Linked DNA regions of Diceros bicornis minor. The protein of the gene in region 1 purifies or fractionates together with the protein of each later gene. This does not show direct contact. Links are inferred from orthologs where the notes say so. Each region holds a gene or a part of one and is shown in the gene's direction. Other genes may lie near its edges. The genes, in order: TCOF1, NOLC1, ARRB2 and ARRB1.

Region 1 (8,490 bases):
CACAGCAGAGCCAGGCCAAAAAGATATTTTCCTGACTTCCGGCCCAGTAGCCTCTCCCCTGTGTCATGCTACCTCCCACCTCTGTGCAGGAGCCACTTCTGCTGGGAAAAGAAGGTTTTAGCACCCCACCTGCTTAGCTTCCTTCTCTTCTGATGACGGGCCTTCCTTCACTCATTTCCCGAATGCCCTCATTGTGCCCTGCTTGAGAATTCCAGATGACTAAGGCATGCTGCTTACCCGAGAGGGGCTCAGAGGTTGAGTGGTCTGGAAGCTTCTGATTTCTACCACTAACAAATGCATCTTTTTTTAACTGGTAGAAAAACGCTCTGAGGCTAATTTTTTTTAATGCGCTGTTTTGTTTGCTGCTGTCTTAATTGTTGCCATGTTATATTTTATCGGTTTAATGTTTTAATTTTGTGCTTGGGCCCCGAGGCAATTCAGTGAAGGGTATGATTTGGAAAAGCAAGGATATAAAGAAATTGTCCACAGAAGAGGCAGCCTCCCAGGAGCCGAGGACAAAGCATAAGTGCCTAAAATGAATTTTATTAGGAACAAAACAAAAATAAACAACGTGTTGCCAGACAGAAGATATCAGACCATCCTGGTTTTGTTTTTTAATTTAATACCAGTTCTCCATTTCTTCCAAGGTCAGCAAAGGACTCACAACACGGTTCCTTCTCCATTGCCTTCTAGAAGCCTTCCTCATTTCTGCTTCCAACCCTATACTCACGGTGTGCGCCCTGCCTGCCCTGCCCTCCTCTCTTCTTCAGGAAGCAGGCTATAACCACCCTTGCACTTGCCAACGTTTATTGACTGCAGTTGGGGATAACGCAGCCAACAAGACAACCAGGAGTCTGCCTTCAGGGAGTTTACATTATAAGGAACGCATTCTCAACCGGGGCAATAACGCCCCCACGGAGGGTAAAAATTGGTTCTCGGAGGGGTGAAAAAAAATTGACCATCTTACAATGATTTGTATGCTCGTCACCCTGTTCGCTTTCTCAGTGAGTGGCCCATCCAGCCACCCAATCAGCAACCTGGGAGCTCATGGCAGCCTCGTGGCGGCCCAGTACGCAAAGGCTTCCACTCTCTCCCTGAAAATTGACGCCATCTGTCTTCATTCCCCACCTACCCAGCCTAGATCCGAGGGTCCAGAGATTAGGCACCATTTTTGCCAACAGTTCAGACACTGTTCCTTTTTTTTCCACCCATCTGGCAAAGCCCTAGGTCTGGGTAAACCCTCTAAGTACTTTCCCCCTGCCTGCACCTGAGGAGGTGAGCTGTGAAGGGGGAAATCACACAGCTGGCAGGACAGGACACATAAATTAATGGTCACCAACCTCAACTGGGTTGTCAACACTATCAGGCAATCGGGGAGTTTGTGGGCCAGTTTGCTCCTCCACTCTCCGAATGCTCATTCTCCTCCTTCCTTCAAACTCCTCACCACCTCTTCCTCGCTCTCAGCAGAAGACCTTGCCTCCCACTTTGCAGAAAAAATAGAAGCTCAAGATGAAATCTCCCTTAACATCCCACTACAAACCTACATCTACATCTGCACCCATCCTCTCTTTGTTCCTACTTTTGGTTCTAGAGAAGTCATCCCTCCTCCTCTCCAAGACCAGCCCCTCCACCTACACGCCTGATCCCATCCCCTTGCACATGCTCGTGCACATCACTTGATGATTATCTCCCCTATTTCCTAAACCCTTAATTAATCTCTCTCCCCTTCAGGCTTGATCTGCCATCAGCCTGTAAACAAACTCAGGTCTCTCCACCTTATAGCACACTTCCCCCCAACACACACTTAGACCCTGTCACGGCATCTCGCTCCTCCCCTTCACACAAAAACTTCTCAAAAGATCCACTGCCTCCCTCATCCTTCCTTCTCTCATCAGACCACTGCCATCTGACCTTCTCCGTCACTCCACAGAAGTAGCATTCCCTACAGCCACTGACAATCCCCATGCCTGTCAGTAAACCAAGGCCCATGGTTCTATCCTCATCCCATCCGACTCTCAGAGCAGTCTGCATGGACACTTCCCACTTTCCCAAAACTCATCCCTTGGCTTCCTGCCCTCCGCCCACTCCCTGGGTTTTCTCCTACCTCTCTTGTCCATTCCTTCTCAGCCTGTGCAGGCACATCCTCCTTTCTGCAGCCCTAACCTGTGGGTGTGCCTCAGAGCTCCAGCCTGGGCCACTTTCTCTTCTCTCCATGTTCTTCTCCTCACTTATCATCTCTCTACTGACAACTTCCCATTTTCATGTGAGTCCAAACCCAGGCTTCCAAGTGCCTACTCAGCATCTGCACTCGGTGTCTCAAAGACATTTCAAGCTCAGCGTGTCTAAAGTGGAACTTGCACTTTTCATGTCCCCTCCACACCCTCCCCTTGTTGCTCAGCCCCCATCCCAGTCCTCTCCTGTTTTCCCCATCTCAGTGAAAGTCACTGCCTGCCTGTTTGCACAGACAGCTCAGAGTCCATCCTAACACTCCCTCCTTACCCTCCATTCCAGCACATCTCTATGACAATTTGACTTCCTGATAACTTTGAAACCTTTCACAGTTCTCAGCTCCACTGCCACCAGTGCCACCCCCATTCTATTCTCCCTGGATGCCTGCCTGCACTCCTAACCCTGTCTTCCTGCATCTACTCATACACTAGTATTCCACTCTCCACTGGGCATTCACACAGGTCACATTAAAATTCAAATATCATTCTCTTCCTCTTGGGCCCACACTGTCAGTGGCTTCCTTCACTTTTAGGATGAAGAGAAAGATCCTTAATGTGGAATCTGGCTCTGCCCACCTTCTACACTCCCCAGTCCCCCTGCTTTCACTCTAGGCCCTGCTACAAGGGCCTTTTCTCACCTCTTCTCTCAGCTATACCTTCTGCCTCAGGCCCTTTGCACAGGTTCTTTCCTCTGCCCAGGATTCTCCCCACCACCATCCTCCCCTACACATAGTTCAGATTTCCTCACAAATATCACTTCCTCAGGGAACCCTTCCCTAACCCCCAAGAAAAGATAGCTCCCTCCTTCCTGTTAATGCTTTCCCAATAATGGCTCACACACATACAAGCACAGCACTGTTGTTGGGAATTCACCTGCGCATTTCTCCTTAGAACTCATTTACTCCTCATGACAACTCTATGAGGTAGAAATTATAATTATCTCTATTTTACAGATGAAGAAACTGAGGCACAGAGAAGTTATGTAACTTACTCAAGGTCACCTAGTTAATAAGAGGCAAAGCCAGAATTTGAACCCAGGCAGTGTGACTTCAGCAGAGCTTTTAAACACTCTACTGTTCCATAAGAAAACACTATCCTTTTCCTTCTGCACTTGCTCACTGTTTGTAACAATGTATTGGTATGACTATTCGTTTAGCACGTTTCTCCCCCATTAGACTGTAAGCTCTTATTGGGGTAGAGACTGTTTCATCCCCAATAGTAGGCCCTCAATAAATATTTGCTAAATGGCTGAATGTAGATTAGTCTTCTCCCTCTTTCTTACTCACTGCATTCAATCAGTCACCTCATCCTGTCCTGTTTCTTCCTGGAGCTGCAGTTCCTAACCCTAGGAGGTTCAGGTACGTGCTTATCTCTGTCCTGAAATTGGATGGAAAATGTTATGTATCCATACACATTCAAAATTTTCTACAGTAAAGGCTAGGTGGTTCATGCTGTCTTCAGATTCTCAACAGGGCCATGAAGTTAAGAAGAGCTGATTCAGGGCCGGCCCCGTGGCTTAGTGGTTAAGTGCACTCACTCTGCTGCTGGTGGCCCGGGTTCGGATCCCACACCGACGCACCGCTTCTCCAGCCATGCTGAGGCCGCGTCCCACATACAGCAACTAGAAGGATGTGCAACTATGACATACAACTATCTACTGGGGCTTTGGGGGAAAAATAAATAAATAAAATTATAAAAAAAAAAAAAGAACAGCTGATTCAAATATTCTCCAGCCTCTCTCATCCTCTCCCTGCCAACCTCGCCTCAACAACTACGATAGCCTCACAGCTAGTATTGTTCTCCACAAATCCATCCTCCATGCTTTGGTCATAGTAATCTTTTAAAAACATAAACCCAGGTCACCCTCCTGCATTAAACCAGTCAGAGACTATCTATTGCCCTTGGAGCAAAAGTGCAAAAACTCTGCTGGGGGAGGGGATGCTGTAGGCCCTGTCTACTTCTCCATCCTCCTGTGTCCTCACTGGTTCCCTCTTCCCCCCAACTCTATAGCCCAGCAGCACAGACTGGGTTCTATGTTTGGGTTTCTGGCCTATGCCCCGTGGCTTCTCCTGTCTACCCTCAGGAGGTGCCCTCTGCCTGGGGTGCCAGTCCTCTTCTCTGCACCTAGAAATTCCTATTCCATCTTTAAGCCTCCACTGAAACGTCTCTTGGGGGTTAGGTGCCCCTCCTCCCTGCTCACATAGGCTGTGCCTATCCCCGAGAAAGCACAGAAAGCACCGACTATCTCTGTTGTCCCCGTGAGCTTTGAGGGCAGCCGCCATGGCTTATTCATCTTTTTATCCCCCTATCCTAACTGAGCGCTAGCCCAAGGTACGGTGCTCAATAATGATTTGTTCAGTGAATGAATGAATGATGACAAATAGTGCCTGAAAAAAGTGTGAAATGAATAAATGAGTGGGTAATTGGAAGTTTGGGTCTGGAGAGAGATGCAGATGAGGATGTTCAGACATGAGTAAAACCCGATCGCAGCCATCAGAGAGCTAACAAGCAAGACTAACCTCTTCAAGGAACAAGTCTGAAGGATTTCAGAGGGAGTTACCCAAATCACGGCCGGCCCAGGGGTGGGTCCAGGTCTAACCACGCCCTCTCCCCGCCAATGGGAAATCTCATTGCCCTCCGAGTCTCCGCCCCTTTCACCCGCCGGGGAGGGGCCGATCACGCTACAGGAGACTACATTTCCCGGCGTGCCGCGCGGCTCCGGCGAACGAGGAGCCGGAAGTGGGGCGCGCGAGGTCTAAGGGCACGCGGGAAGTGGCGGGCGGGGATTGAGGGGGGCGTGCAGGTGAGACGACTGGCCTGGGGTCGCTGGCATGGCCGAGGCCAGGAAGCGGCGGGAGCTGCTTCCCCTGATCTACCAGCATCTGCTGCAGGCGGGCTACGTGCGCGCGGCGCGGGAAGTGAAGGAGCAGAGCGGCCAGGTAAGCGGCGCGCGCCGTGTGCGAGGGCCGCGTGCAGGGTCTGGAGAGCGGCGGCCCGCACCCCCTGTCCTGGCTGCCTGGCGGGCCCCCGGAACTGGATCCCGCGGTGCTCGGGGACGCGGCCAGGGGTGCCGAAGGAGCCGCAGCTTCTGCTCCCTCCTGCGGCTCCCAGTCCCTCTGGGCCTCAGTTTCCCATCTGTGCAGTGGGCGGGCCGGGACCTGTGATCGGATGCGCAGGGTTTTGTAATTCCCGCGCCCCGTACCTCCACCCCTTTCCTGGTGGCGGCAGTTTAAAGTTTCCTAAATCTCGGGCCACGTGGCTCCGCGTGACCCCCTCGGGCGAGAAGGTTGCTGCGAGTCTGAGGGATGGATAGCGACCAGCCCCTGGGGGCGAAGGAGAGCGCCGGGAGAAGGGGCCTGTGTCCCCTCAGTTGAGCTGGAGCTCAGGCCCTTAGCAGTCCTTCGGTGTTGAGTCGGACAGCATTGGGATTCGAACTCGTGGTGCAGTCATTTCTTACTCCATTGATTCTTACAGCAACTGTTCACCTGGTGCTCAGAGCACACGGTCCCCCAGCCCTCCTAGAACTAACAAAATCTAAGTCTAGTAAAGGAGATAGACATAAATCAAAGAATCCCCAAAATAACTGTACACTTAACACTACATTAAGTGCCAAGAAAGAGAGGCATAGGGTGCTAAGACAGAGGTGGCAGATTGCCCTTGTCAGCGATAGCCAGGGCTGCTTTCCTGAGGGAGTGGATGTTGATTTGAGATCTTAGAGAGGGGAGGTAGGTATTCCAGGCAGAGGTGCAAATGCCCTGCGGTGGGAGAAAACTTGTGTAGGTACTGGCCTCAGTAGAGCTTGTTGTGGCTTAAGTGTGAGGTACAAGGGTGATAGAGGTCCCTGGGAAGATAGTGGGGGAGCTGGCTGGAGCCTTACTGTAGGCAATTTGGGCTTCATCTAAAGAGCAGTGGTAAGCCACTGAAAGGTTTTAAGCTGGTATGGTGGACACTGGCCTGATTAGTCAATATGGTGTAGGCTCTGGTCCTGATGCTTGCTCTCAGGACCTCCCAGGGAGACTAAAGGGTGATGAGCCCTAAGACGTTATCTATGCTTTTCCCAGCCCTCTCTGGACCTCAGTTGCCCTTCTTACTCCAGTTATATCCCTTAACAGCTAAGAGGGGCAGGAGACAGCGCCCATTCGTTGGAACATTTGCCTAGGCAAAAGTAGCCTGCCCTTATGGAGCATACATTCTAGCAGGCGCAGACAGATGACAAATAGGAAAAAGAAGCGAATGATATAGTGTGTCGGGTGATGGTGGGTGTTAGCTATAAAAATAAGGCAGGCAAGGGGGATAAGGAATATTAGGGTTCAGTTATAAATAGGATGGTCAGGAAGCCCCACCAAGAAGGTGGCATTTGGGCAGAGACCTGAAGGAACGGAGGGAGTGAGCTGTGTAGTTAGCAGGAGAGAACATTCCAGACAGAAAGAATAGCAAGCCCTGATGGGGGCCGGGTGGCCTGAGACGTTTGAGGGACAGTGAGGAGGCCAGTGGGCCTGGGTCGCAGTAGAGTGAAACTGACGCTCGCAGTCTCTGTGTTATTGGCTCATGTGCTGGGGGCGCTGACCAGGTTGTCTCATTCAGGCCTGATAGCAACCTGCTAGGTGGGTACTGCCGTTGTCCCCATGTTATAAAGAAGGAACCTGAAGTTTGAAGAGGTGAAGAGATTAGTCCAGCCAGTTAACAGAGGAGCTCTGCCTGACACCAGGTGCACCCTCCTGGCCACTCTGTACCCCCTGACACTGCCCTTGCCCCACATTGTTCACTCAGCCTCCTTGGGGCACTTAACACCCAGGTTCTTGACATTTGCACCGAGAGTGGGCCCTCTGGCATCGGCTCCAAAGGCCTAGATTCCAGCTGGTTCCCTCTGCTTCTACCAAGGGACTGGCATCATTTGGTTCCAGTCTTTTCCCAGTGGATGAGTGGACTGCAGTCATGCCACCCGGATGCCTCTGGTGTCTGGGCTGTGGTTTGTACTGCCCTGGGGAGATTGACCAGCCTGGCCTTTAAAAGCCTTTTGAAAGGTCAGAGGTAGAAAAAGCCCTGTCTCGTGGCCTCTAAGCATAGAGAGTGGCAGGGAGGCTGGGGGCTGGAAAAATGCTAGCCTGGAAGATTCCAGCTCTAGTCGGTCAAAGGTACCTCTCACCAACATGTTGTCTTAAAAGGTTTTAGCTGGAAATACTTGTCCCGCTTGTCTCTGGAAGGTTTGAGTGGTACAGGCAGGGCCAAGCAGACATGTTTCCCAAAGCAAAAAGACCCCTTTCTCAACCGCTTGTCTGTGCAGGTAAGGAGGTCGTGGAGAGTTGGGCCCAAGGAGGACCCTTACTGTGCTGGAGCGTTAATTGCTGTTTTCTCTTTCCTTGTTTGCAGAAAAGTTTCCTGACTCAGCCTGTAACCCTTCTGGACATCTACACACACTGGCAACAGTAAGTCTGTTGGGGCTGAAGGAGTGGAGTAGGGACACGCCGAGCTCTCGGCTTGGAATAAGCTGGGATACTAATCTGTCCCTATAGCCCACTGTGGACGCCATTATCACCCCCGGGAAGCCAGGTCACATGGATGTGAGTCGGAGAGGATATTGAGAGCTGCAATCAATGTCTTTGAAGGACAGAAGCTTTCAGCAGCTTGTTATTCATTTAGTCAGCAAACATTTATTGAGTACCTACTGAATGCCAGGCCCTGTTCTAAGTATGGAGATGTTGTCGTGAGTGAGACAGACATGGTTCCTTCTGTCCTGGAGCTCACATTGGAGTCGGGGAGGGAGGCATGCCTCAAACAATGAAACAAACAAATGTAAAATTACAGTGGTAGTAAGGATTATGTAAAAGAGGGACCTGGTGCCGAAACCTCATAAACAGTTTAGCCTAGCCTCATTTGGGGGTTTAGGGGAGGCTGCCCTGAGGTGACCTTTGATGTGAGAGCTGCAGGGAGTCGGAGAGTGAACTAGGCAGTAGGATGGAGAGGCAGGTGGAATGTCGCTGGCAGAGGGAACCGCTGGTGCTGAGGCCTGTTGCCACGAGCACGGTACAGACAAGGCCAGGCAGTCGGCAGGGCCCACCCCACGTGAGGCCTGATCACCCGTGATGAGAAGTTGTGTCTTTACCCCAAGAGCAGTGGGAGCCGTGGAAGGCAGAGAGTGATGAGATCACTCTGAGTGGGACTGGCTGGGGCTGTGGACATTAGCATCCAGGCAAGAGCTGATGGGGCTTGAGACAGGACTAACAGAGGAGGTAGACAGTGGATTCCAGGAATATTAGGGGAT
Region 2 (8,469 bases), on another chromosome or scaffold:
GAACTCAGGAGGAGTAGTAGTTGCAACAGTAGAAGAAGTTCGGCTGTTGACCATTGTTGGTGTACTTTGTGAGATGAGGTGGGGGTCTCTGGAGCCTATATACGCAGTGTTTAGAAGTGTAGAATGGGATCTCATCCTGCTATCTCCATCCTCCCTCCCCTCACAGGGCTCACCCCTCCAGCTACCCCTCCCCACCAGTTATGGAAGCCCCTGGCTGCTGTCTCACTGCTGGCCAAAGCCAAATCTCCTAAGTCCACCGCCCAGGAGGGAACCCTGAAGCCTGAAGGAGTTACAGAGGCCAAACATCCACCTGCAGCCCGTCTCCAAGAAGGGGTCCATGGCCCTAGTCCAGTCCATGTGGGCTCTGGGGACCATGACTATTGTGTTCGGAGCAGGACCCCCCCAAAAAAGACACCTGCCCTAGTCATTCCAGAGGTGGGCTCCCGATGGAACGTCAAACGCCACCAGGATATCACCATCAAACCTGTCTTGTCCCTGGGCCCAGCTGCCCCCCTGCCCCCACGCACAGCTGCTTCCCAGGAACCACTTGATCACAGGACTAGCAACGAGCAGGCAGATCCCCCAGCTCCTTGCCTTGCCCCATCTGCCTTGCTGTCCCCTGAGGCTTCGCCCTGCCGGAATGATATGAACACTAGGATTCCCCTTGAGCCCTCAGCCAAGCAGCGGTCAGTGCGCTGTTATCGAAAAGCCTGCAGGTCAGCCAGCCCCTCAAGCCGGGGCTGGCAGGGCCGCCGTGGCCGCAGCAGCCGTTCTGTCAGCTCTGGGTCCAACCGGACCAGCGAAGCATCTTCCTCCTCATCCTCATCGTCGTCTTCCTCATCCCGATCCCGGTCCAGGTCCCTCTCCCCCCCACACAAGAGGTGGCGAAGGTGAGCTCTGATGGCCTGTTAGGTCCTCTCCATTTAGGAAGTTCATGTACTCTCTTCTGGTTTACTTTAAAAGCTTTTGCACATTGAGTTTAATACTTTCAGGCACTAAGGCTTCTATTTCTCTCTTCTCCCCCTTTCCTGGATTGTTGGAGGAGGCAAGCGTCATCCAAGCTTGAGAAGATAGCTTCTATCCCCTGTTGGAGTTTAGGGTATCCCTGAGGTCTCCTGCTTCCTTGAGACCTGCCTTGGGGAGACCGCTAAGGTTTGATCTTGACCATGTTAATTTCTTCGCATACTGTATCAGTCCTCATTTCTGAGGTGGTATGTGGAAAGGTGGGATAGTGGATTGTTAATGGCAAACAGTCCTTCCTTTAATCATCTGTTGAGGAAAGAGTCTGAGACAGTTCCTTTGGGCGTCACTGTGGCCTCATCTGTTTTCCGGCAGTACCTTTTTCTCAGTAACAGACACAAATTTTCCTACTTAATCAGTGAAGAATTCTTGGCTTGTGACAGTGAAGTATATCTTCAGAAATGGCCTCTACTACAGGTCTAGCACAGTCTCCCCTTATGCCATGGTTACAGTACTCCTGTGAGACATATTAGGGGAGCAGGAATCCAGAGACTCAGGCCTGGCACCGCCAGCTAGTTGTAAGACCAAGGGCCCAGCCCTTTATCTCTCTGGGTCTCCATTTATTTTTCTTCTTTCTGATTTGTTAAATATTTTTCATTTTTAATTGCATAACTGAAAATAAGTATGGTCTGTGCCAAAACACTCTAAAACATTCCAGATACATCTAAAGTTCATGAGGACCTCAATTTGGTCAGCTGTGAAGAGTTCTTTTAGACCTCTTCTGCTCTGCTTTCCCTTTGGTCCTGAGCTTCCTGATAGGGAGACAGGGCTGGGGCCAAGGTGAGGTAAGTGGAATATACCTGCACCACTCCCAGCATTCCATTTATTCTTCAGGTCCAGTTGCAGTTCCTCTGGACGATCCCGAAGATGCTCTTCCTCTTCCTCCTCCTCATCTTCCTCGTCTTCCTCATCCTCATCATCCAGTTCCCGAAGCCGGTCCCGCTCCCCATCCCCGCGCCGGAGAAGTGACAGGAGGCGGCGGTGAGCATGTATTCAGGGAGTCAGTGCATCTGGGATGCAAGTGCCTGAGAATTCTGAGACTTGAGCTGTCTTATGTCTGGGGGGTTGATGGCACCTTCTTCTTTTGTCAGGTACAGCTCTTATCGTTCGCATGACCATTACCAAAGGCAGAGAGTGCTGCAGAAGGAGCGTGCAATAGTGAGTAGGGGAACAGGAGGAGGACGCTTGCCCCTGAGCCATGAACTTGGAGAGCCATCTGCAGCTGTGGCCCTGGCTCACAGTGTGTCATTTTTCCTTGACCCAACATAGGAAGAGAGAAGAGTGGTCTTCATTGGGAAGATACCTGGCCGCATGACTCGGTCAGAGCTGAAACAGAGGTTCTCTGTTTTCGGAGAGATTGAGGAGTGCACCATCCACTTCCGTGTCCAAGGGTAAGCTTGGGCCCTAAGATCAGGATGTCCTTTCTTGTCCCATTCATCTACCTTGATGATTCTTTGTCTTTCCCTCTTGCTCTGGTGTGCTGGGAAGTATAGGACACCTTCATTTCTACAGAGGGTTGGCCATTTGGGGAATGAGAAGAACCACCCCAGTCCCTCTCTGTACCCTGGGGAGCTGTTTCTTCTCCATGGTATGTGCCCAGATAGCCATCCCAGCCCCTGCCTCACCCTCCCCACCAGTGACAACTATGGCTTCGTCACTTACCGCTATGCTGAGGAGGCATTTGCAGCCATCGAGAGTGGCCACAAGCTGAGGCAGGCAGATGAGCAGCCCTTTGATCTCTGCTTTGGGGGCCGCAGGCAGTTCTGCAAGAGAAGCTACTCTGATCTTGGTGAGTAGAGGGAGGCCTTGAGGCTTTGATATATTTCATCGCCTCTCCAGAAGGATTCCCAACCTTTTGACAGTGGGGCTAGGCAGACTTGTCTTCATCTGACACACGAAGAACCTAAGGGGTGGGATGAGAGGAGAAATGGAGGCTCTTCTGTCTTTTTGACGTAAAATCAGGGTGATTTTAGCTCCATCCATTACTGGGATGGGAGGTGGCTGGCCATTTGAGGACCCTGTGGTTGGGAAGTATGGTCAAAGACCTTGATGTTTGTCTCTCTCTACCTCTATAGACTCCAACCGGGAAGACTTTGACCCTGCTCCTGTAAAGAGCAAATTTGATTCTCTTGACTTTGACACATTGTTGAAACAGGCCCAGAAGAACCTCAGGAGGTAACCCTGGGCCCTTCTCCCCCTCCCCCTTTTCTTTGGAGGTGCCCAGCCTCCTCCATCCCCCTCCCCCACTCTAGGGGAGAGAGCTGCTAGTGAGGAGATGACTGTTTTATAAAGAAATGGAAAAAAGTGAAATAAAAAATGTGTTAAATCAGATTTTTTAAAGGGGTATTTGTTTTTTATAGCAAGCATTGAAACAAGTTAACTTGCATTCCTATGTAAGATGGATGGGGTTGAGGGGTTCCCCCAAAGTTTGGAAGATCTAAGTCACTATTCAGACTAATAAACGTGGACTAGAGAGAACTCCCAAGTGCTGTTGTGCTTCTTTCTGTGGTGCTGGTGCCAGACATATTCACTTGTCCTCTATGAATACAATCAGGGACATGCTTACCTCCATTGAGTTCCTAGGACCCCTCTTTGGTCAAGTGCAAAATCCTATTGGACTTGAAACTTGGCTCCTCAAGTGTGTTGTCAGTGAAATCACTTATCTAGGGCAGTGCTTCTCAAACTTGAAAAGGGCGTTTGAATCATCTGGAGATCTTTTAGAATGCAGATGCTGATTTCAAGGGTGAGGCCTGAGATTCTGCATTTCAAACTAGGGGATGCTGATGCTACTGGTCCAGGAAGGGATTTTAATATCAAGGACCTAGAGGAAGCTCATACTTGTTCCCAGTAGAGGTTTTTAAATAAAAGGTTTTCTAAGGCTTGTGTGTCATGTACCATTTTAGCTTGAGCACAATGCTTGCTTGGCACACAGCAGGTGCTCAGATGTTTAAAGAATGCTTGTATGTGGATAGACCTCTGGGGAAGAGGGAGATGTAGAAGTTTTATCTAGGAGAGGGGAATGCCTGTTTTGAGAAAGGCAAAGGAGAGGTGTGTCCCCTGAGAAAGTGGATCCTTACTTAACCTTCCTGAGGGGCATTAAAGGGAAGTAGTGAAGGGGTAGTGGGTAGAATTGAAGGGATTGCTGTCTGCCAATGTGAACTGAAATATGATAGAACTTGGAATTAACTTGGCAGGCCCAGGCATTGATATTTCAGTACTCATAGCAAAGGGAGAGGCAGTTGGGGGGGTTTTCTGCATCTCCCACAGGGAGAGTTCACTGTGTGAACTGTGACCCAGGAGGTAGAAGGGTGATTTTCAGGACTATAGGTTTGAAGAAATTGCTGCTGTTGTCACTCAGGTTTGGTGCACAACCCCTTTTCCCTTCATGGAGCTGAAGTAAGGCTAAATAAGGAAGGAAAGGGTTGTCTCATGGGCAAGTCATGATTGAGGGAGGGGAGTTTTGGGGATCAACGCCCCACTACTACCACGGATAATCTGAAGGATCCTCTGCAGTGGAGGTGGGAGTCCAGAGGCTGAGGTGGTCTCTGAGAAAGGGCCTCCCTAGGTGTTGGAGGCAGTGAAGATGAAGGGTGGGAATCCACTGGCAGCGCGAATGGGGGCGGTTGGGAGATCTTGTGACCAAGTCTGAGAGTCCAAGAACAGTTCGAGCCCGCCGGTCCACTGATTGCTCTGGAATATGAATCACAGCTGGGGTGCTGGAAACCGCTGCTCTGAGAAGTGGTGCCTCCAGCGGAAAGACGGGGCGCGGGAAGTGCAGAGTTTTCCCGCCACGGCCGAGGACGTGACCTCTGACGTCAGGGCTCCGCCTTCACAAGGTGGTGGACGGCGGGCTCCGCCCTTACCAAGATGGCGACGCTCGTGGGACCGGAAAGAGCTTACAGATTTCGCCTTGACCCTGCCTCCGAGTTGGAGGCGGGACCGCCCTATGGAGTGCGCCCTCCTCTTGCGCTGTGCGCCCGCGCGGCGCGATGGCGTCACACGGGCCCGCCCCCAGCCTCAGGGTTCCCGAGTTCCTGAGTCGTGTGCGACGGAAACGGTAGTGACGCGTATTGCCCGGAGGATGGCGGACGCCGGCTTGCGCCGCGTGGTTCCCAGCGACCTATATCCCCTTGTGCTCGGCTTTTTGCGGGATAACCAGCTTTCGGAGGTGGCCAATAAGTTCGCCAAGGCAACAGGCGCTGTGAGTCCCGGGCGTGGGGCATGGGCTGGGGTGGGATGACCACAGGGCTCTGGGCCCTGACATGCTTAGGTTTGCGGGTAGGGAGATCTGTGGGGTGCGCCAGCCCAGTGTCTGCGGGACCTTTGTGCCGAGCTCTCGGCGGTGACCGGAGAACGCCGGCAGTCTCGGCACCTCCTCTTACACGTGGTCTGACTAGATAGTGCTGAGTTTTGTTGCTTTTTTCTGGTGAGCGGTTCAGCGGCTGCAGCGTGGGACCCTCGTGGCCCAGGTCACGTGGCCGGCAGAGTGCGGCGAGGAGGGATCTCGGTGTCCCACGGGAGCATTGGAGGCTCCAGGTTCCTTATTTGAGCTTTATGTTGGCTGATGTAAAGCGTGACTTGACCTTAACTCTCGAATTTACCCGGAACTCGAAGATAAATGAAATGCTTTAGAAATGAAGGCTGGGGTTTTCGTTAGTAAAGAAGAAAATGAACGAGAGTAGAGGCAGAGTTCTGCTTTTAATTGTACTGAAACGAAATTGAGCATCATAAGCAGGCGTAGCGGTGGGCTTGGATCTTTGACATCTGGAATCAAACAAATCTAGGTTTGAGACCAGGCTCTGCCACTTTTAAGATGTATGACCCGAGCATCTTGCTTAACCTCTAGGAGTCTGTTCCTATTTCTATGGGGATGTCATCCTCCACTTCATAGGATTTTTGTGAGTTTCAGTAACATGATACACGCAAAGTCGCAATCCCAGTGCCTGGTGCTCAGGAGGCATCAATGAGTGAAAGCTATTACCATACTTCAGGAAATTTAGGATGTTCCAAACACATGTAAAAGAAGACCAGGAATGTGAAAGATTTGGAAACTACATCTCAAGAAAAGCAGACATGATTGCATGGGAAGAAACCTTGAAAGAACTTAGAGTAGCAGAGGGGTAGTCTTTGGCGGTCTCAGCCTTTCAGTAAGAAGATAGGCTTGTTCTTTGTGGCAGAATCAGGCTGCAAAAGGAGAGAATTAGATCGGCCTCGGAAAGGACTTCCTTAAGCTGGGACAGCCTGCCGTGTGATCTGATAGAACTGCCTTTGTGTTGGAATTGTTTTGAATTGACTGTTAGGGAGGCTGCAAAGAGTGTTTCCACAATGGGCTAGATGGAATTGGGCCTTTCAGAATCAGGATTCTCTTTTTCTTTTTTGTGAGGAAGACCAGCCCTGAGCTGACATCCATGCCAATCCTCTTTTTGCCGAGGAAGACTGGCCCTGAGCTAACATCCGTGCCCATCTTCCTCTGCTTTATGTGGGATGCAGCCACAGCATGGCCTGACAAGTGGTGCATCGGTGTGCGCCTGGGATCCGAACCCTGGCCGCCAGCAGCGGAGCGCATGCACTTAACCACTACGCCACAGGGCCTGCCCCCAGGATTCTTTTTCTTTTTTTTTTTTTTTTTGTGAGGAAGATCAGCCCTGAGCTAACATCCATGCTAATCCTCCTTTTTTTTTTTTTGCTGAGGAAGACCGGCTCTGAGCTAACATCTATTGCCAATCCTCCTCCTTTTTTTTTTCCCCAAAGCCCCAGTAGATAGTTGTATGTCATAGTTGCACCTTCTTCTAGTTGCTGTATGTGGGACGCGGCCTCAGCATGGCCGGAGAAGCGGTGTGATGGTGCGCGCCCGGGATCTGAACCCGGGCCGCCAGTAGTGGAGTGCGCGCACTTAACCGCTAAGCCACAGGGCTGGCCCCCCAGGATTCTTTTTCATGTGACAAAAACTAGTCTTTGTGGAGGGCTTACTAAGGGGCCAGATGCTGTTTCCAGATAGTAAGCCCTTTATGTGCATTATTTCTTATTTTCTCAACCTAATAAGATGTATAGTATTATCTTCATTTTATAGAGAATAGTCTCAGAAAGATTAAATAATTTGCTTAGGATCACGCAGTAATTGGTGAAGGTGAGTTTTACATCTATACTCGTCTATCTCTGAGCCTGTGCTTTTACGTGTACTGTAATGCTTGGCCTTTTTTTTTTTTTTTTTTTTTTGAGGAAGATCAGCCCTGAGCTACCATCCATGTTAATCCTCCTCTTTTTGCTGAGGAAGACTGGCTCTGAGCTAACATGCATTGCCAATCCTCCTTCTTTTTTTTCCCCAAAGCCCCAGTAGATAGTTGTACGTCATAGTTGCACCTTCTTCTAGTTGCTGTATGTGGGACGCGGCCTCAGCATGGCCGGAGAAGCGGTGTGTCGGTGCGCGCCCGGGATCTGAACCCGGGCCGCCAGTAGTGGAGAGTGTGCACTTAACTGCTAAGCCACGGGGCCGGCCCGCTTTGCCATTTTTTTTGCATCAATTAATAATTTATGGAGCCGGCCCCGTGGCTTAGCAGTTAAGTGCGCGCGCTCCGCTGCTGGCGGCCCCGGTTCGGATCCCGGGCGCGCACCGACACACCGCTTCTCCGGCAATGCTGAGGCCGCGTCCCACATACAGCAACTAGAAGAAGGTGCAACTATGACGTACAACTATCTACTGGGGCTTTGGGGGAAAAAATAAATAAATAAATATAATTAAAAAAATAATAAAAAAAATAGTTTATGTTAGTGTAATTAATAGCTGAATGCGATTCTGTGCTGAATACATAATATAACTTTCTACCAGTCTTCTCTTGGAGGCTAGTTTCCAAAGGTTTGGTATTATAAACCACATTGCAGCAAACACACCCTCTTGGTATAAATGTTTGTGCCCTTGTTTTGTGAGTAAGGATAAATTCCTAGATAATACATTGCTAGAGTAAAGAGAATGCACATTTTTAAAGGCTTTGATAAATAGGATTGGTAGGCAGGGGATAGATGGTGCCAGAAACTACAGGAATAGCTCAAGTTTTTGATACCAAAAATTGGGAAATACGTAAAGAGAATGTTTTTCTCCTAATTTATGCAAGTAGGAGAACTCTTACAATGATGTAACATTTATACCAAATATAGCAGGTATAAAACAGGTCACTTTTAATGGGAGAATAACACAAAATCTAATCTCCCCTACAATAACCAGGATAAAATTTCTTTACTCAGCTCTTTCTCTTTTCTGCTACAGACCCAGCAGGACGCCAATGCCTCTTCCCTCTTGGACATCTATAGCTTCTGGCTCAAGTAAGCCTTCCCTGTACCACTATGGCTGTTTTCTCCCCCTAAATGGGCTGGGCTGTGTTCCTTGGTTTGGGAGGTCCTGATCTCCCAGAAGTTAGCCTAATCTGCCTCAGCAGGTCCACCAAGGCCCCAAAG
Region 3 (7,427 bases), on another chromosome or scaffold:
TGGCCTACTAGAATCTACATGATCTGACCCATACCCACCTCTCTGACCTCAACACATACCACATGTATCACTCTCCCTCTCTTTCCCTATCCTTGAGCCAAACTAGCCTTCTTTCTGTCCTCCAGCAAGCCCATTCCCACCTCAGAGCCTTTGCACATGCTGCTGCTTCTGCCTAGAGAAATTTTCCTTTGATTCTATATGACTGACACCATCTTGCCATCTTCAGAGAGGGCTCCTTTTTAAGAAGTCTCCACTGCAACTCCCATCACCCTCTATCACATTATCCTGCTTATTTTTTTTATAACTTACAGCACTATTCAAAATTTATGTATTTTCTTATTTATTGACTATTTCTGTCTAAAATACAAACTCCATGAGAGGGGTCTTATCTTCTTCACTATTTTATTCTCATTACCTAGAACAGTGCCTGGCACATAAAAGGTGCTCAATAAATATTTGTTGAGTGAATAAATGAATATTGGATGAAAGAGGATGCCTATTTTTAATTTTGATAGGAACTAGCAAAATGCCCTCTAGAAAGGTTCCATAGGTTTACACCGGAGCACTATGTAAAATAGTGCTCTATACCTTATATATCATCCCAATATTAGGCTTATTTATCTTTTTAGAATTTCTCAATCTGAAACATGAAAAATATCTCCTTCTTTTAACTCATTTTCCCTGATCATTATGAAATGGAGTAACTTTCATATGTTTAATAGACATTTGTATTTCTTTTTTATTAATTACTTTTCATACCCTTTACCCATTTTCCTATTGAGTTGTTCATCTCTATCTTATGAGTTTGTAGGAACTCTTTGTATGTGTGGGAAATTATTCTTGATTGTTATATGTGTTGCAAGAGGTTTCTTCCAATTTGTCTTTTTATTTTACTTGTTATTTTTTAATCTCAGTCTTTTTGAAATAAGGTGTTGTGATTAAGGGCACAGACTCTGGAGCTAGACTGGTGGGTTCAAACACTAGCTTTGCCTCTTGCTAGTCATGTGAGCCAGCAAGTTACTCAACTGTGCCTCCACTTCTTCATCTGCAAAGAGCAGATAATCATAGAACCTTAACTCATAGGGTTGTGAGGACAAAATGAACTGATGTTTGTCAAGTGCTTAGAACAATGTTTGGCACATGGTAAATACTATAAAGTGTTAGTTGTTATTATTATAGCCCTGGGGTTTGATATACTCCGAGGCTTTTCCTAACCTCCCAGAGTATAAAAATATTCTCCTGTATTTTCTCCTAATACTTGCATAGTTTTACTCTGTGCATTTAGATCTTTAACCCATCTGGAATTTATTTTGTTTAAGGTATGACATAGAGGTATAACTTTTTTTTTTCCCCAAACATAGCTGATTGTCCCAACCCTATTTAGTGAATCTGCCATTATTTCTCTATTGACTCGAAATGCTACCACGTGGATCTGTATCTGGACTCTATTCTGTTTCATTGCTCTGTTTAGTATTATTGCACCAATAACACAATTTTAATTACTGTAACATAAATTATCTTATCTGGTAAGACAAATGCGTGCTATACTCTTATTTTTCAAAAATTTCCTGGCTATACTTGAAAGTTGATTCTTCTGATTATGTTTAGAATCAAGTTCCTCCCAAAAAAGTCTCGTTGTTATTTTATTTTATTTTATTTTATTTATTTATTTATTGTGAGGAAGATCAGCCCTGAGCTAACATCCATGCTAATCCTCCTCTTTTTGCTGAGGAAGACAGGCTCTGAGCTAACATCTATTGCGAATCCTCCTCCTTTTTTCTCCCCAAAGCCCCAGTAGATAGTTGTATGTCATAGTTGTACATCCTTCTAGTTGCTGTATGTGGGACGCGGCCTCAGCATGGCCGGAGAAGCGGTGCATCAGTGCATGCCCAGAATCCGAACCGGGGCTGCCAGCAGCGGAGCGCGCGCTCTTAACAGCTAAGCCATGGGGCCGGCCCCTTGTTATTATTTTATATGGCGTTAAATTTATAGACAATTTGCAGAGAAATGACGTCTTTATAATGATGGTTTTTCCCACCTAGAATATGGTGTATATCTTTCCTTCTTTCTGGCCTCCTTTACTATCTTTCTAAAGTTGTCTTTATATTAGTATCTTTTAATACAGTTGTTTTCATGCCACACAGACCACTTATCTTTCAGTTCCAAAAGCAGTTTAGATATGTAGCAATACACATCTCATTACCTTCTGATCCTGACCCTTTGACAAAAGTGATTCACGAGTCGAAAAGAATCTAAAACTTGAGAGGGGTGAAGAGTGAGCTTAGAAGGTGGTGATAGAACTGAGGGGTAGGGAGGTGGCAGCTGGTGGACAAGGTGTGTGTTTGAACCTTAAAGATGATCTCAGAAACTGTCTTGTGTGCATAGAAAAGTGGAGGGAGAAGTGTGAAGTTAGTTCATTTGGGAAAGATGGGGAGTATGGGAAATGAGATGGAAGAAGAAAAAATATTTTAGCTCCTTAAGTCCAGAAATGTCCATCATCCATCACCCTCCCCAAGTCCAGTCAATTTTGCCCTAGAAATGACTCTTCAGCCTCTTCTCCCTCCCACTCTATCGTTCATCATTTCCCCTTGACTGGTTTCAGTCTACAGCAGCCTTGCCCCACTCCCTCCACCCTCCACATTGCCCAGAACTATCTTCCTAAAAGAGAAATCTCATCATGCCACTTCTTTGCTTAAAAAACCACTACTGGATCCATGTGTCCTCCTCCAGGGCAGGGCCCCAGTCTCATTCCTTCACCTGCTATACAAAATCTTTGTTTTGACTCTGTTCCAGTCTCCTCAGCCTTCTCTCTCCTGCCATCTAACCCCACAAGCACTTCAGAACAGGATGTGCCTGGCCTTTCTCTCTCTTTGGAATACCCTTTCTCAACTTCTGCCCACTATTCAGAAAGATTGTCCTCAAATGTCTCCTCCTCTGTACAGCCTGCACTCTCTCCACCCCCGCTCCAGTCAAATGCTGGTAGTTGCTTTGTCTTCTGAGTCATACCTCCATTATAGCATTCCTGGGATCATAATACCAGTTCATGTGTGTCCTCACCTATACTACGAAGGCTGGAGCCATGTTAATTAATGTCTGTGTCCCCATCGCCTACCACAGTGACTGGCACAAAATAGGCATGGATGGATGGATGGATGGGGAGGGAGGGAGGGATGGCTGGGTGGGTGGGTGGGTGGATAGATGGGGAGGGAGGGAGGGAGGGATGGGTGGATGGATGGGTATTAGTTGGAATGAGTGGATGGAGATGGGTAGTTAGAGAAATTAGAAAAGTAACCCTGCGAAGATCAAAAATAGACACCAGGGGGAGCTGACACACCACAATAAAGAAGTGGGAGGGCGATCCCAAGAAGGCTGCAAGCTCTGGGATGAGCGGGTGAGCGGCGAGCACTAAGGCAAGCACCACGCAACTAGAACCGCTCACCCACGTGTGTATCCCCTCATTCTCCTTCCCCGACTGTGCTTGAGCTCATTGCACCGCCTCCACCGCCACAGAGAAAGCAAACAAAGGGGAGGGAACCCCTGCAGGGCCCTGGATGCAGGGAGCCAATCAGAGGGCTGTAATCTTCTGGCAGGCGGGAGGCTTCGTTTAAGGGAGCCCAAGCAGTTTCTAATGGGGTGCGGAGGGACGGAGAGATGGGCGGGAAGAGCAGGGAGTAGACACAGCGCTGGCCGGGGAGAGATCCCTCGGGAAGGGTGGAGATAGAGCGCAGAGGGGGCGGGGGCGGAGCCAATCGCCGCCGGTGTCTGTGAGAAGAGGGCGGGCAGCGCCGCGGCGCGCGCGATCCGGGCTGACGCATCAGGCCCCTGTTCCCCAGGATCCGAGGGGGGGCGGGAGGGGAGGGGGAGAGGAGAAAGATCGGAGGGCGCGCGTGCGCAGTGGCGCGGGGAGGAGCAGGGACCTGGCAGCGGGCTAGGAGGCTGCAAGCGAGCCGCGAACTGGGCGGGCGGCAGGCGCGTGCACCATGGGGGAGAAACCAGGGACCAGGTAAGGCAGGTGGGGCCACGCGGCGGGACGTGGGCGGCGGCTCGGGGCGGGTGCTGGAACGGTCCCCAGACAAGGACACCGGGGAGAGAATCCGGGAGCCGGACGCCTGGGTCCCTAGGGAGCAGCCATCCGGGGCCGCACGCCTAGGTCCTCGAGGATAATGAGGGGGATGCATGCTAGGGCCCCTGCAGAAAGCGAGGGCTGAGGGGATCAGGAAGCCGGCATCTGAGTTCTCGCAGGGATGTGGGGGCCGGAGGACTGGGTTCTCCGGTGCAGGCTGCGATGCAGAGGCGGAGGAAGGAGGAGCAGGTGGCCGGTCCCAAGGGGTCGGGTATGGGCAAGCTGGATGCCGGGAGGGGGATTCCCCCCTAGACTCGTGCCGAGCCACTGAAAAGCCTCCTGTCCAATACCCCACAGGCAGTTGGGCTGCCCCCACCGTCCCGAGGGCCGGCCCCGCTTCCAAACTTCTGCCTTCCCCTGGGTTGCTAGGAACAACAGCTTCATCTTAGGGAGCAGAGTGCACGGCGACCCTCCCCGATTCTGGGCCTTACCCCTCTTCCCGGGGGTGAGGGGAGGCAGTATCTGCCCTGGGCACGCCATCCACTCCCCGGATGTTTTCTGTGCAATCGAGGCTCTTTCCTTCCACTGACAGCTCGAGTTCTCTTTTTTGGTCTCTAGCAAAATCCACTTCCTGTTGTGACCCAACACCCCTAAGGGGCCAGTGGGTGAATGCCTGAGTCCCTGGGGAGCAGGAGCAAAAGAGGAAAAGATTGGGGTTGTATGCCTCTATCCAGAGGGCATCAGGAATGGAGGCCTGGTCCTAAGCTGTCACTCGTTCTACAAAACACTATCATATCAGCACCCCCATAGAGTAGGAGAACTCAGGCTTCTAAGCACCAAGTCGACTAGTATTGGAAAGAGATGATCAGAAGGAAGATTAGTGTCCTGTATTAGAGATTAAACACCCCAGAGAAAGGGGAAGTCGCTAACTTGAGGGAGGGCCCCGATTTCCGTTATGTGGTTCAGGGAGGAGGACGGATGGACCAGAGGGGGACTGCTGACTTGGCACAATTCCCCACATCCCCATCAAATTCTGGGCCACAGGAAACGGAGAGAATAGCAGGAAGTGTGAGGGGGCACTGCTTCTGCTGCCCCCGCTCATTGGGCATCTCCCTGGTCACCCCCACACTCTGCCTCCTCAGTATACACATGCTGCTCCCCCACCCTCAGCCTGGCAGGAGGTTGGCTGGGTTAGGATCCAAAGGGCAGGTGCCCTGCAGCTGCTCCAAGGCAATTATTCCAAAGCCACACTCCGGTTGGCCAACTGACTGTAGCTGTTGCAGCCCTCTGCCAGGGCTCCTAATAGGAAGAAACACTGGGACAAAGAGGAAAACCAGAAGCAAAGAGGGAAGAGAGCTGGATGATGCCATAGCAACCAGCCCCCAAGTTGGGACAAGAGGGGGGTGCTTATTCCAGCTGCCACCATATCAACGTTTGCTCTCCTTTATTGAATGGGAATACCTGAGGACCTCCATACCCTTTGCCTTATGGCCTTTGGATAGCTTCTGGGAAGAAGGGGCAAGTGAAGTTTTTATAGCAGAAACGGCTGGTGGGATTGGAGAAGGGATGGACCAGTTGGCAGGATTTCAGTTTCTACTATCTGGGGACCCTTCCCAGGGATCAGATCACTGCCGAGCCAGAGTGGATTGGGAGTGGATTGTAAGGTGGTGCAGCAAAGAACAAGCCCACAAGTGGCCAGAGCATTGGAGTAGCTAGACACTTCACTACCATCCCAGCAATGAATGGAGTCCATGCTTAAATTGTTTCAGCAACTGGGAAGCAAATCCCCTTCAATTCAACAAACCTGATGCCAATTACAGAGGCAGAGTAGTGTAGTCAGCCGTCTGTACCTGCGGGCTCCATGTCCGCAGATTCAACCAACCGCGGATCTAAAGGCCTACAATGGTCGTGTCTGTACTGAACATGTACAGACTTTTTTTCTTATTGGCTAAACAATACAATATAAATGCTATTTACATTCTATTAGGTATTATAAGTAATCTAGAGATGATTTAAAGTATACGAGAGGATGTGCATAGGTTATATGCAAATACTACCCCATTTTATATAAGGGACTTGAGCATATGCGGATTTTGGTATCCCCAGGGGTCCTGGAACCAATCCCCTGCAGATGCCAAGGGACAACTGTATAGTGGTTTAGCGATGAATGCATGGACTTGGAGCCAGACTGCCTCTGTTTGTATGTGAATTCCACCATTTACACTGTTACCTTAGGCAAAATACTTGACCTCTCCTGTACCTTAGTTTCTTCAACTGTAAAATAGGAATATTAGGACCTCCATCATTGGGTCATTAGGAGTATTAAATTAGGTGAAACACTTCAAACAGTGCTGAGCATGGAGTATTCACCCAATAAATGTTAGCCAGCATCATCTTTGTCATATGGCTGGCATGGTGCTGGGGATGCCTAAGTGAATAAGGCCTCTGATGCTCACAGTCTGTCTAGTGAGACAGATGATACACAGCTAACTGCCCTTGTTTGCTATCACACCACAAGTAAAACATAAACAAGGTGTGACAGAAGCCCAAAAAAAGGAGTGACTAGGGTCTGGGTTGGATCTGCTTTCTAAAGGAGGTGATATCTGAGCTGGGCCTTGAAAGACAAATAGGCTTTTAAGCTGCTGAGATCAGAGATGCGGACAGTTGGAGGTTAATGGAGTAGGGTCACACTTAGGTAGTGCCTACAGTAGAGCACTTGAGAGGCAAAGGCCAGGGCCATTGCTCTTCCAAGTACTCCAGCTGTCATTGGAGCTGGAGACCAGAGAAGATGGAAAGAGGGTTAGGTCTTACACAGACATTGCTGCGACCTGCCGTTCAGGTTCCCCTGGGGGAGGTCCTTTGGGAAAAGCCTGGGTGGTTCCTGTGGCAACCAGTGGCCATTGCCATGGGAGGAGAGGAACTAGTGAGGGTGGACCAGGGAGGGGTTGCCATGGCACCCAGCTTGGAGGGGCTGCCATGTTGGAAATATTAAGGACCTGTGGTTGCCTTTCCTTCAGGAAGAAGTGGGAGGGGCTAGGGCTGGGCAAAGCCCCAAAGCCTCCAGGCAGGAATCCTGGGTGAGCTCTGTTTCTCAGGCTGGGGAGGGAGAAGGTCCTGGCGTGGGGGTCCCTGCTGAGTCTGAGGGAGGCAGTGGGGTTTCCCTTTCTGTTTTGTTAGGGTCTTCAAGAAGTCGAGCCCTAACTGCAAGGTGAGTCTCCCACAGTACTCCTCCTCCCAACCCTCCCTGGGCCCTTACAAGGCCTAGCCTGCCCCTAGACGATCCCCAACCCCTAGCTCCCCACTTCCTGTGACAGCTCAGAGCCGACTTCCTCCCCTCCTGAAGCCCCTTGCCACAAAGGCTGCT
Region 4 (7,434 bases), on another chromosome or scaffold:
ACACGGAAAAATAAGAGCTATAAAGAAGTGAGTAGGTGGGTGGATGGAGTCTCTTTCAACCCCCGTTAACAGTTAGGCACAGTTCCTTTCCTTTCATTTATTTTTTTGCTTTGTTTTTAGTTTATTTTTAAAAATTGAGATATAATTTATATACCATAATATTCAGTTTTAGTGTAAAATTTAGTGGTTTTTAGTATATTCACACAGTTGTATAACCATCACCACTATCTAATTCCAGAACATTTTCATCACCCCATAAAGAAACTCCTACCCATTGGCAATCACTTCCTATTTCCCTCTCCCACCAGCCCCTGGCAACCACTAATCTACTTTCTGTCTCTCTGTAGTTGCCTATTCTGGATATTTCATGTAAATGGAATCAAACAGTATATAGTCTTTTGTGTCTGGCTTCTTTCACTTAGCATAATGTTTTCAAGGTTCATCCATGTTGTAACATGAATCAGTACTTCGTCCCTTTTTACAGCTGAGTAATATTCCATGGTATGAATATGCCACATTTGAAAAAACACATTCATCAGTTGATAGACATTTGGGTTTTTTTTCACTTTTTATGACTGTTATGAGTAATGCTGCTATGAGCAGTTCTGTACAAGTTTTTGTGTGGACATCGTTTTCAGTTCTCTTGGATATACGCTTAGGAATGGAATTGCTGGGTCATATGTTAACTCTATATTTAACTTTTGGATGAACTATCAAACGGTTTTCCCAAGTGACTGCACTGCTTTACCTTCCCACTGGCAAGGTATGAGGGTTCCTGTTTCTCCACATCCTTGGCAACACTTGTTATTGTCTTTTTTGACCATAGCCATCCTAGTGAGTGTGAAGTATCTCCTTGTGGCTTTATTTTGCATTTCCCCAGTGACTAATGATGTTGAACATCTTTTCATGTGCTTATTGGTCACTTGTAGATCTTCTTTGGAGAAATGTCTATTCAAATCCATTGTCCATTTTTAATTGAGTTATTTACCTGTTTATTGTTGAATCATAATAGGGTCTTTATATATCCTGGGTACTAGGCCCTCTTCAAATATTTTCAAATATTTGAAAATAGTTTCTCCATTCTGTGGGTTGTTTTTTCACTTTCTTGACAGTGACCTTTGAAGCTCCAAAGTTTTTAATTTTGATGAAGTCCAATTTATCTACTTTTTTCTTTAATTGCCTGTGTTTTCGGTGTCATAGCTAAGAAACCATTGCCTTATCCAAGATCATGTCAATGTATACTTATGTTTTCTTCTAAGAGTTTTATAGTTGTAGCTCTTACATTTAGATCTTTGATCGATTTTGAGTTAATTTTTGTATATGGTGTGAGGTAGGGGGTCCAACTTCATTCTTTTGCATGTGGATATCCAGTTGTCCAAGCATCATTTGTTGAAAAGACTGTTTTATCCCCATTGACTTCTCTTGGCTCCCTTGTCAAAAGTCAATTGACCATAAATATATTCATTTATTTCTGGACTCTCAATTCTGTTCCATTGATCTACATGTCTGTCTTTATGCCAGTATCACATGGCAGTCTTGATTACTATAGCTTTGTAGTAAGTTTTGAATTTGGAAAGTCTGAGTCCTCCAACTTTGTTCTGTTTTTTTTCAGATTGTTTTGGCTATTCTGGGTACTTTGTGTTTCCATGTGAATTTTGGGATCAGCCTGTCAATTTCTGCAAAAAACTCAGCTGGGATTTTGGTGAGAATTTCATTGAAACCATAGATCAGTTTGAGGAGTATTGCCATCTTAGTGCTAAGTCTTCTCATTCTTTCTTTTGGGTATTTATTGAGTATAAAGTTGAGTTCATGCCAAATATACTGTTTTGATTCCTGAATTATTCTGCTTAATATTCTGTCATGGGCATTTCCCTGTGTTACGAAAGATGCAAGCATAATTTCAATCCTATGTACTATTCCATTGTTTGGCTGTACTATACAGAACTATAAACTCTTGGTTGTTGGGGATCTGTCTTGGAAGGTACTTTGTTCTGGGTCCGTTATGGTGCAGACCACCTTCTACAGGCACAAATGAACATTGGGAGGACTGGCGGCTCCCAGAAGAGCAGCAGAATATTAATGTCAAAGTTGACCAACAGGTAGCCCATGCTGCAGGTGGGGAATGGGCTCACTAGAGAAGCCAACATTCTGGTTCATGGAGACCTGACCTGCCAGCCCACCTGGCAGCACCACCCTGATGGAGTGGAATCAGAACACAGGATCCAACAGGCTGCATAGACACTGATAGAGCATGTTTATTTTAGGCATGTTTCTCTAGAACAGTGGATTTTTTTTTTTAATATCTCACCTCTTTATTTTTTTATTTATTTTTTATTGATGTCATAATGGTTTATAACATTGTGAAATTTCAGTTGTACATTATTATTTGTCAGTCACCGTATATATGTGCCCCTTTACCCCTTATGCCCTCCCGCCAACCCCCTTACCTGGTGGTAACCATTAATCTGTTCTCTTTGTCCATGTATTTGTTTATCTTCCACACATGAGTGAAATCATATGGTGGTTGTCTTTCTCTGTCTGGCTTATCTCACTTAACATAATACTCTTAAGTTCCATCTATGTTGTTGCAAATGGGATGATTTTGTCTTCTTTTATGGCTGAGTAGTATTCCAGTGTATATATATACCACATCTTCTTTATCCATTCATCAGTCGATGGGCACTTGTGTTGCTTCCAAGTCTTGGCTATTGTGAATAATGCTGCAATGAACACAGGGGTGCATAAGCCTCTTTGAATTGTTGATTTCAAGTTCTTTGTATAAATACCCAGTAGTGGAATAGCTAGGTCACATGGTATTTCAATTTTTAATTTTTTGAGAAATCTCCATACAGATTTCCATAGTGGCTGTACCAGTTTGCATTCCTGCCAACAGTGCATGAGGGTTTCCTTTTCTAGAACAGTGGATTTTAAACATTTAAAAATTTGCAGCATGACATTTATTTTACATTGTAACTCATTTCACCTGAAACAAAATTTTCACTAAATAATACTTACTTTTTGTATCAGGCAGGAGAAGCTGGTCTGCTGCACTAACAAACAACCCCCAAATCTTAGTGGCTCGAGAGCTTTCTTTCTCTCTCATGCTACATGTCTATCACCTAGCAGGAGAGCCCTGGGATTCAGGTTGCTGGAGGCTTCCCCATCCCGATCATTGCTGGTTTCAGTGGCAGAGGAAAGAGGGTGTGGTAGGTGGAAGAATGGCCCCCCAAAGATGTCTGCCTCCTAACCCTTGGAACCTTTGAATACATTATATTACATGGCAAAAGGGAATTACAGTTGCAGATTGAATTAAGGTTGCTAATCAGTTGATCTTAAAATAGGCAGCTGAATGTATCCTGAAGGGTCTTTAAAACTGGAAGAGGGAGGCAGAAGAGGAGGTAAGAGTGATGCAATGTGATAAGAACTCAACCTGCTGTTGCTGGCTTTGAAGATGGAGGAAGAGGCTATGAGACAAGGAATGTGAGTGGCCTCTAGAAGCTGGAGAGGGCAAGGAAACAGATTTGCCCCAGAGCCTCCAGAAGGGAGTATAGCCCAGCCAACATCTTGATTTTAACCTAGTGAGGTATATTTTGAACTTCTGAACTGCAGAATTGCAAGATAATAAGTTTATGTTGTTTTAAGCCACTAAGTTTGTGATCATTTGTTATAGCCTCCATAGAAAACTAATACAAAGGGCCTAGGGAATCATGCACCAGCCCTTAAATGCTTCTGCCTGGAAGTGACATGTGGCACTTCTATTCATATTTCGTTGGCCAGAGCGAGCCACATAGGTATGTCTAACTTCATAGGACTGGAGAAATTTGATCCACTCATATGTCCAGCCTTGGAGGAGAATAGAATATTGGTAAATATCGTAATATCTACCATACCCTTGCCATCTGCACCTCATGCTTATATCTTCTATTCTATTGCAAACAACAACAAGAACAAAGTGCTGGTGGCAATTCTTGAAGTTGACTTCATTATCAACTAATGGGTTATAACCCCTGGTTTGAAAAACACTGCTTTACAGACCCTCTTCTGCCCATGCCTCATGGACCACATGACACCTCCAAGGCATAGCTGATTGGTCCAGGCGTGGGACACCTGACCAAAGCTGGCCAATCAAATTCCTCTCCTGGGATTTGGAATTGGGCCATTCAGCCAGTTAACAGTGGGGAGCTGAGTGAGAGGCAGAGTGGAAACAAGGTCGGAGTGAGAGCCACATGAAGCCAAGATGATGGAGGAGTGGAAAAGCACTGAGTAAGCAGAGGGAGTTGGTCCACAGAGACAATGGAGCAGCCGCACAGAGAGCCGTGCAGCCGGGAAGACATGCAGCCCCTGAGGGAGAGGTGGAGAGAGACAGCAACCACCTGAGAGGCTGATGGCTTCCCCGTTCCTGGCTCCAGCCCCCATGCGTCCTGCCTGCGCGTCCTTCCCGTGAGATTTTTGCCTCCTTGTCATACCCCCTCCTCCTTTTCTTGAGCTACCCTTGGTGGGCTTCTTCCGTCTCTCCGGTGAGCCTTCATCAGCTAGAATGCCACCGGTATTTCCCTTATGGGGCCCAGCTTTGGCTCTGAGGATCAGGCTCGTGGGGCATAGATGGGACTCTGGGGTGAACCAACCGCACCGTCCCACAGTCTGGAAGCTTGGCTTTGACCACAGTCTTGCATGTTTGTGCTTGCTCCTCAAAGTGGACAGGCAGAGGCTATCTGTGTGGCACTGCACGTGTAGGGGGCCGGGGAACCGGAAGCACCCCCCAGGTGCCTTTTGTCTGACAGCCCTGGGGTCAGGAAGCCAGTGGAGTTGCTTCAGGGAGGGCTTGGCTGTGCGACAGAGTGGAAACCACATGGGCTCTGGAGACAGGCAGCCACAGTTTCCCTCTCTGAGCCTCAGTTTCCTCATCTCTGACATGGGATTGTTGAAGCATCAGCAACGTTCTGGGAAAAACACTTAGAGACCTGACTAGGGCGGAACACGCTCTCAGCGGCCTGGGCAGCTGCTCTGGTTGTTTGAGGAAGCCATCAGCATCCTGGCTTCCTGAGGAGGTGGCCCTGGGGGCTGGTGGAGTTAGCGACAGGATGTTCCCCATGGCTCGCCATGCTTCCTGCCCCTTGTCACCCTCCTCTCCTTCTCACCCCTTAGCCGCCCTTTCATTTCTTCCTCCTCCCCTCCCCTCTCCTGTCCTCATTTCCCCTCTTTTCTGTTATCCTGATGTTGATAAAAACACCTGCTTTAGGACAGCAGCAGGATCGGATATAAAGACCCAGCCTCTGGAGGCAGACAGAAAAAATTGGGTCTGAATCCCGACTTAGCCTCTGTTTGCTGTGTTCCTGGGCAAATTACTACATCTCGCTGAACCTCAGGTTCATTATCTATAAAGTGGGGGTTATAATGCCCACTCCACAGTGCTGTTGGGAGAGTAATTAAATAGGCACTCAGCAAATGCTGTGTCCTTCTTACCTCCCGCCCTCCTTCCTTGATTATCACTCCTCCTAGCCTGGCCCTGGCCCCCTCCTGTGTTCCTCTCAAGGATCACTGGAATGGCTTTCCCTGACTCGGTTATTTGTGGCTTCAGGCATTTGTGTCCCCTCCTCTCCCTCAGACCCAGGCCTCCCGAGGGTAGACTGACGCTTCTGGAAGCAGCTGGGGTCCCTGTGGCCTGTGCCACTTTTCTGGTCTCCTCTGTAGGCCCAGCCCTAGCGGGGGAGCTGCTGATTCAAACTGTGTGATCTGTATTTTTTCTCACTTTCGCAATTATTACACCCCAGCCGACTGTGGCATCTTCACACTGCGAACACTGATAAATATTTATGAGGAGGAGAGAAGCCCAGAACTCCTAGGGGAGGTTGGGGAGGGCAGTGCCAGGCCCTTCTTTGCAAGCCAAGCTCAGACCCATCCGTGGTCCTTTGGGCCCCATAAATAAGGGGGTGGTGTGGGCGGGGGTGGGCTATGGAGGCAGCACAGAGCCACCACCCACTCGCCTCCTTGGAGGAGCGACTGTCACTGTGACACTGTGGCCTCACCCTGCCTTGCCCTGGACGCCTGCTGGACCTCCTGCTCCTGGGAAGGATTTGGGCTGCGTGGATTCCTCTCAGCTACGTGTGGGCCTGCTCCATGCTCTGTCTGCTGCATCTCCCTCACCCTCTCTTGTTGTTTGTTTGTTTGTTTTTTCATCTGTTGTCACACCTCCAGGGCCTGCATCCCTGTCCTCTCCTCCCTTCCCTCCCTCCTCTAACACCTTCTCTTATCCTCAGGGTCTCTGTCGCTGTCTTTCGCTTTTCTTCTCTCCCTCCCAACATTACCCTGAGCAATTCTGGGGCTAGATGATGGGCGCTAGGTGAGGGGGTCTCAGGCTCCCACACCCAGCTGGAGGAGGCTGCACTGTGCTCTGGAAGGCAGGGAGCGCTTGGCGGGAGTGGGGACCATGCCTCTGCCTGACCCCATGTCCAGTGCTCTGCTGTGGCCACGGGCAATCCCTTCCCTTTCCTGGGCCTCAGTTTCTCAGTTGATTCCTTCACTCATTCATTCATTCACTCGCTCAACTAATATTTATTGAGTGCTTGCTCCCTACCATTCATTAACACGTCTTTGTTAAACACCCACTAGGTGTGCCCTTCTAGGGCTTGGGACACGTCAGTGAACGAAAGAGACAGGATCCCTGCCCTCAGAGCTGACACGTTAGCAGTGGATAGGCGTGAATGTGGTCAGCAAGCCCCTCATGTAGTAGGTTAGACAGTGGTGGGCACTGTGGGAAAAGGAAAAGTGGAGCGAGGGCAGGAGTGGGAGTGGGGAGTAGGCACAGGGCGAGGCCTCATCATGTAAGGGTGGGGGGGGCTGGCAAGCAGAGCTGTTGGGGAGGGACTGCTCAAGCAAAGGCCCTGAGGCAGGAACCGACCTGGTGTGTTGGAGGAACCCCAGCAAGCTGCCATGTGGCTGGAGGAGTGAGGGAGAACAGCGGGAGGTGATGCGGGAGGGAAAGGAGGCAAGGCAACCTCCAGACCTTACAGGCACTCCAGGCTTTTCCCTGCGCCAGCCAGGAGGAGTTTGGGTGGCGGAGTACGACTGACATCCTGACAGCCTCTCTCCACCTGCTGGGAAGAACAGACTGAGGGGCCGTGGCCGGAGCCCAGGAGACCTATAATGGCGACAGTGCGGCTTGGGTGGGGGCAGCGGCGAAGATGGTGAGATCTGATTATGCCGGCACTGTTGCTGCTCTCAACGCTTGGTTGGTGCCTGAAAGTCACTCTGGGCCCCTTGTCCTGGGTCCTGCAGAGGGATGGCCCGCAGGAGCCTTCCCCTGGGCGAGATGTGCTAACCCTGGCCTTCCCTCTTTCTCTCTGCAGGGTGTTCAAGAAGGCGAGCCCCAATGGAAAGGTGAGTCTCCATCAACAGCCCCCCGGCTCCTCCCTGACCCCAGACTCGTCCTGTCTT

The links.
Region 2: the proteins of TCOF1 (region 1) and NOLC1 purify together in Homo sapiens (affinity purification with western blotting; 4 studies listed by BioGRID and IntAct, with this or other methods). This does not show direct contact. The link is inferred for Diceros bicornis minor from reciprocal best matches to the Homo sapiens genes TCOF1 and NOLC1.
Region 3: the proteins of TCOF1 (region 1) and ARRB2 purify together in Homo sapiens (affinity purification with western blotting; 4 studies listed by BioGRID and IntAct, with this or other methods). This does not show direct contact. The link is inferred for Diceros bicornis minor from reciprocal best matches to the Homo sapiens genes TCOF1 and ARRB2.
Region 4: the proteins of TCOF1 (region 1) and ARRB1 purify together in Homo sapiens (affinity purification with western blotting; 5 studies listed by BioGRID and IntAct, with this or other methods). This does not show direct contact. The link is inferred for Diceros bicornis minor from reciprocal best matches to the Homo sapiens genes TCOF1 and ARRB1.

The regions. Positions count from the first base shown.
Region 1 is NC_080740.1:67,357,479-67,365,968, forward strand, and holds the start of TCOF1 (treacle protein), read left to right. Parts: upstream 1-5,027; 5' UTR 5,028-5,059; coding exon 5,060-5,167; intron 5,168-7,598; coding exon 7,599-7,654; intron 7,655-8,490.
Region 2 is NC_080745.1:67,168,214-67,176,682, forward strand, and holds the start of NOLC1 (nucleolar and coiled-body phosphoprotein 1), read left to right. Parts: upstream 1-5,076; 5' UTR 5,077-5,101; coding exon 5,102-5,221; intron 5,222-8,281; coding exon 8,282-8,337; intron 8,338-8,447; coding exon 8,448-8,469. Other genes in the region: PPRC1 (peroxisome proliferator-activated receptor gamma coactivator-related protein 1), read left to right, coding at 167-890, 1,855-2,001, 2,112-2,178, 2,290-2,411, 2,658-2,809, 3,096-3,199. UniProt on the Homo sapiens protein: Nucleolar protein that acts as a regulator of RNA polymerase I by connecting RNA polymerase I with enzymes responsible for ribosomal processing and modification.
Region 3 is NC_080757.1:11,498,208-11,505,634, forward strand, and holds the start of ARRB2 (beta-arrestin-2), read left to right. Parts: upstream 1-4,016; 5' UTR 4,017-4,244; coding exon 4,245-4,312; intron 4,313-7,240; coding exon 7,241-7,271; intron 7,272-7,427. UniProt on the Homo sapiens protein: Functions in regulating agonist-mediated G-protein coupled receptor (GPCR) signaling by mediating both receptor desensitization and resensitization processes.
Region 4 is NC_080746.1:55,867,708-55,875,141, forward strand, and holds the start of ARRB1 (beta-arrestin-1), read left to right. Parts: upstream 1-4,269; 5' UTR 4,270-4,384; coding exon 4,385-4,440; intron 4,441-7,346; coding exon 7,347-7,377; intron 7,378-7,434. UniProt on the Homo sapiens protein: Functions in regulating agonist-mediated G-protein coupled receptor (GPCR) signaling by mediating both receptor desensitization and resensitization processes.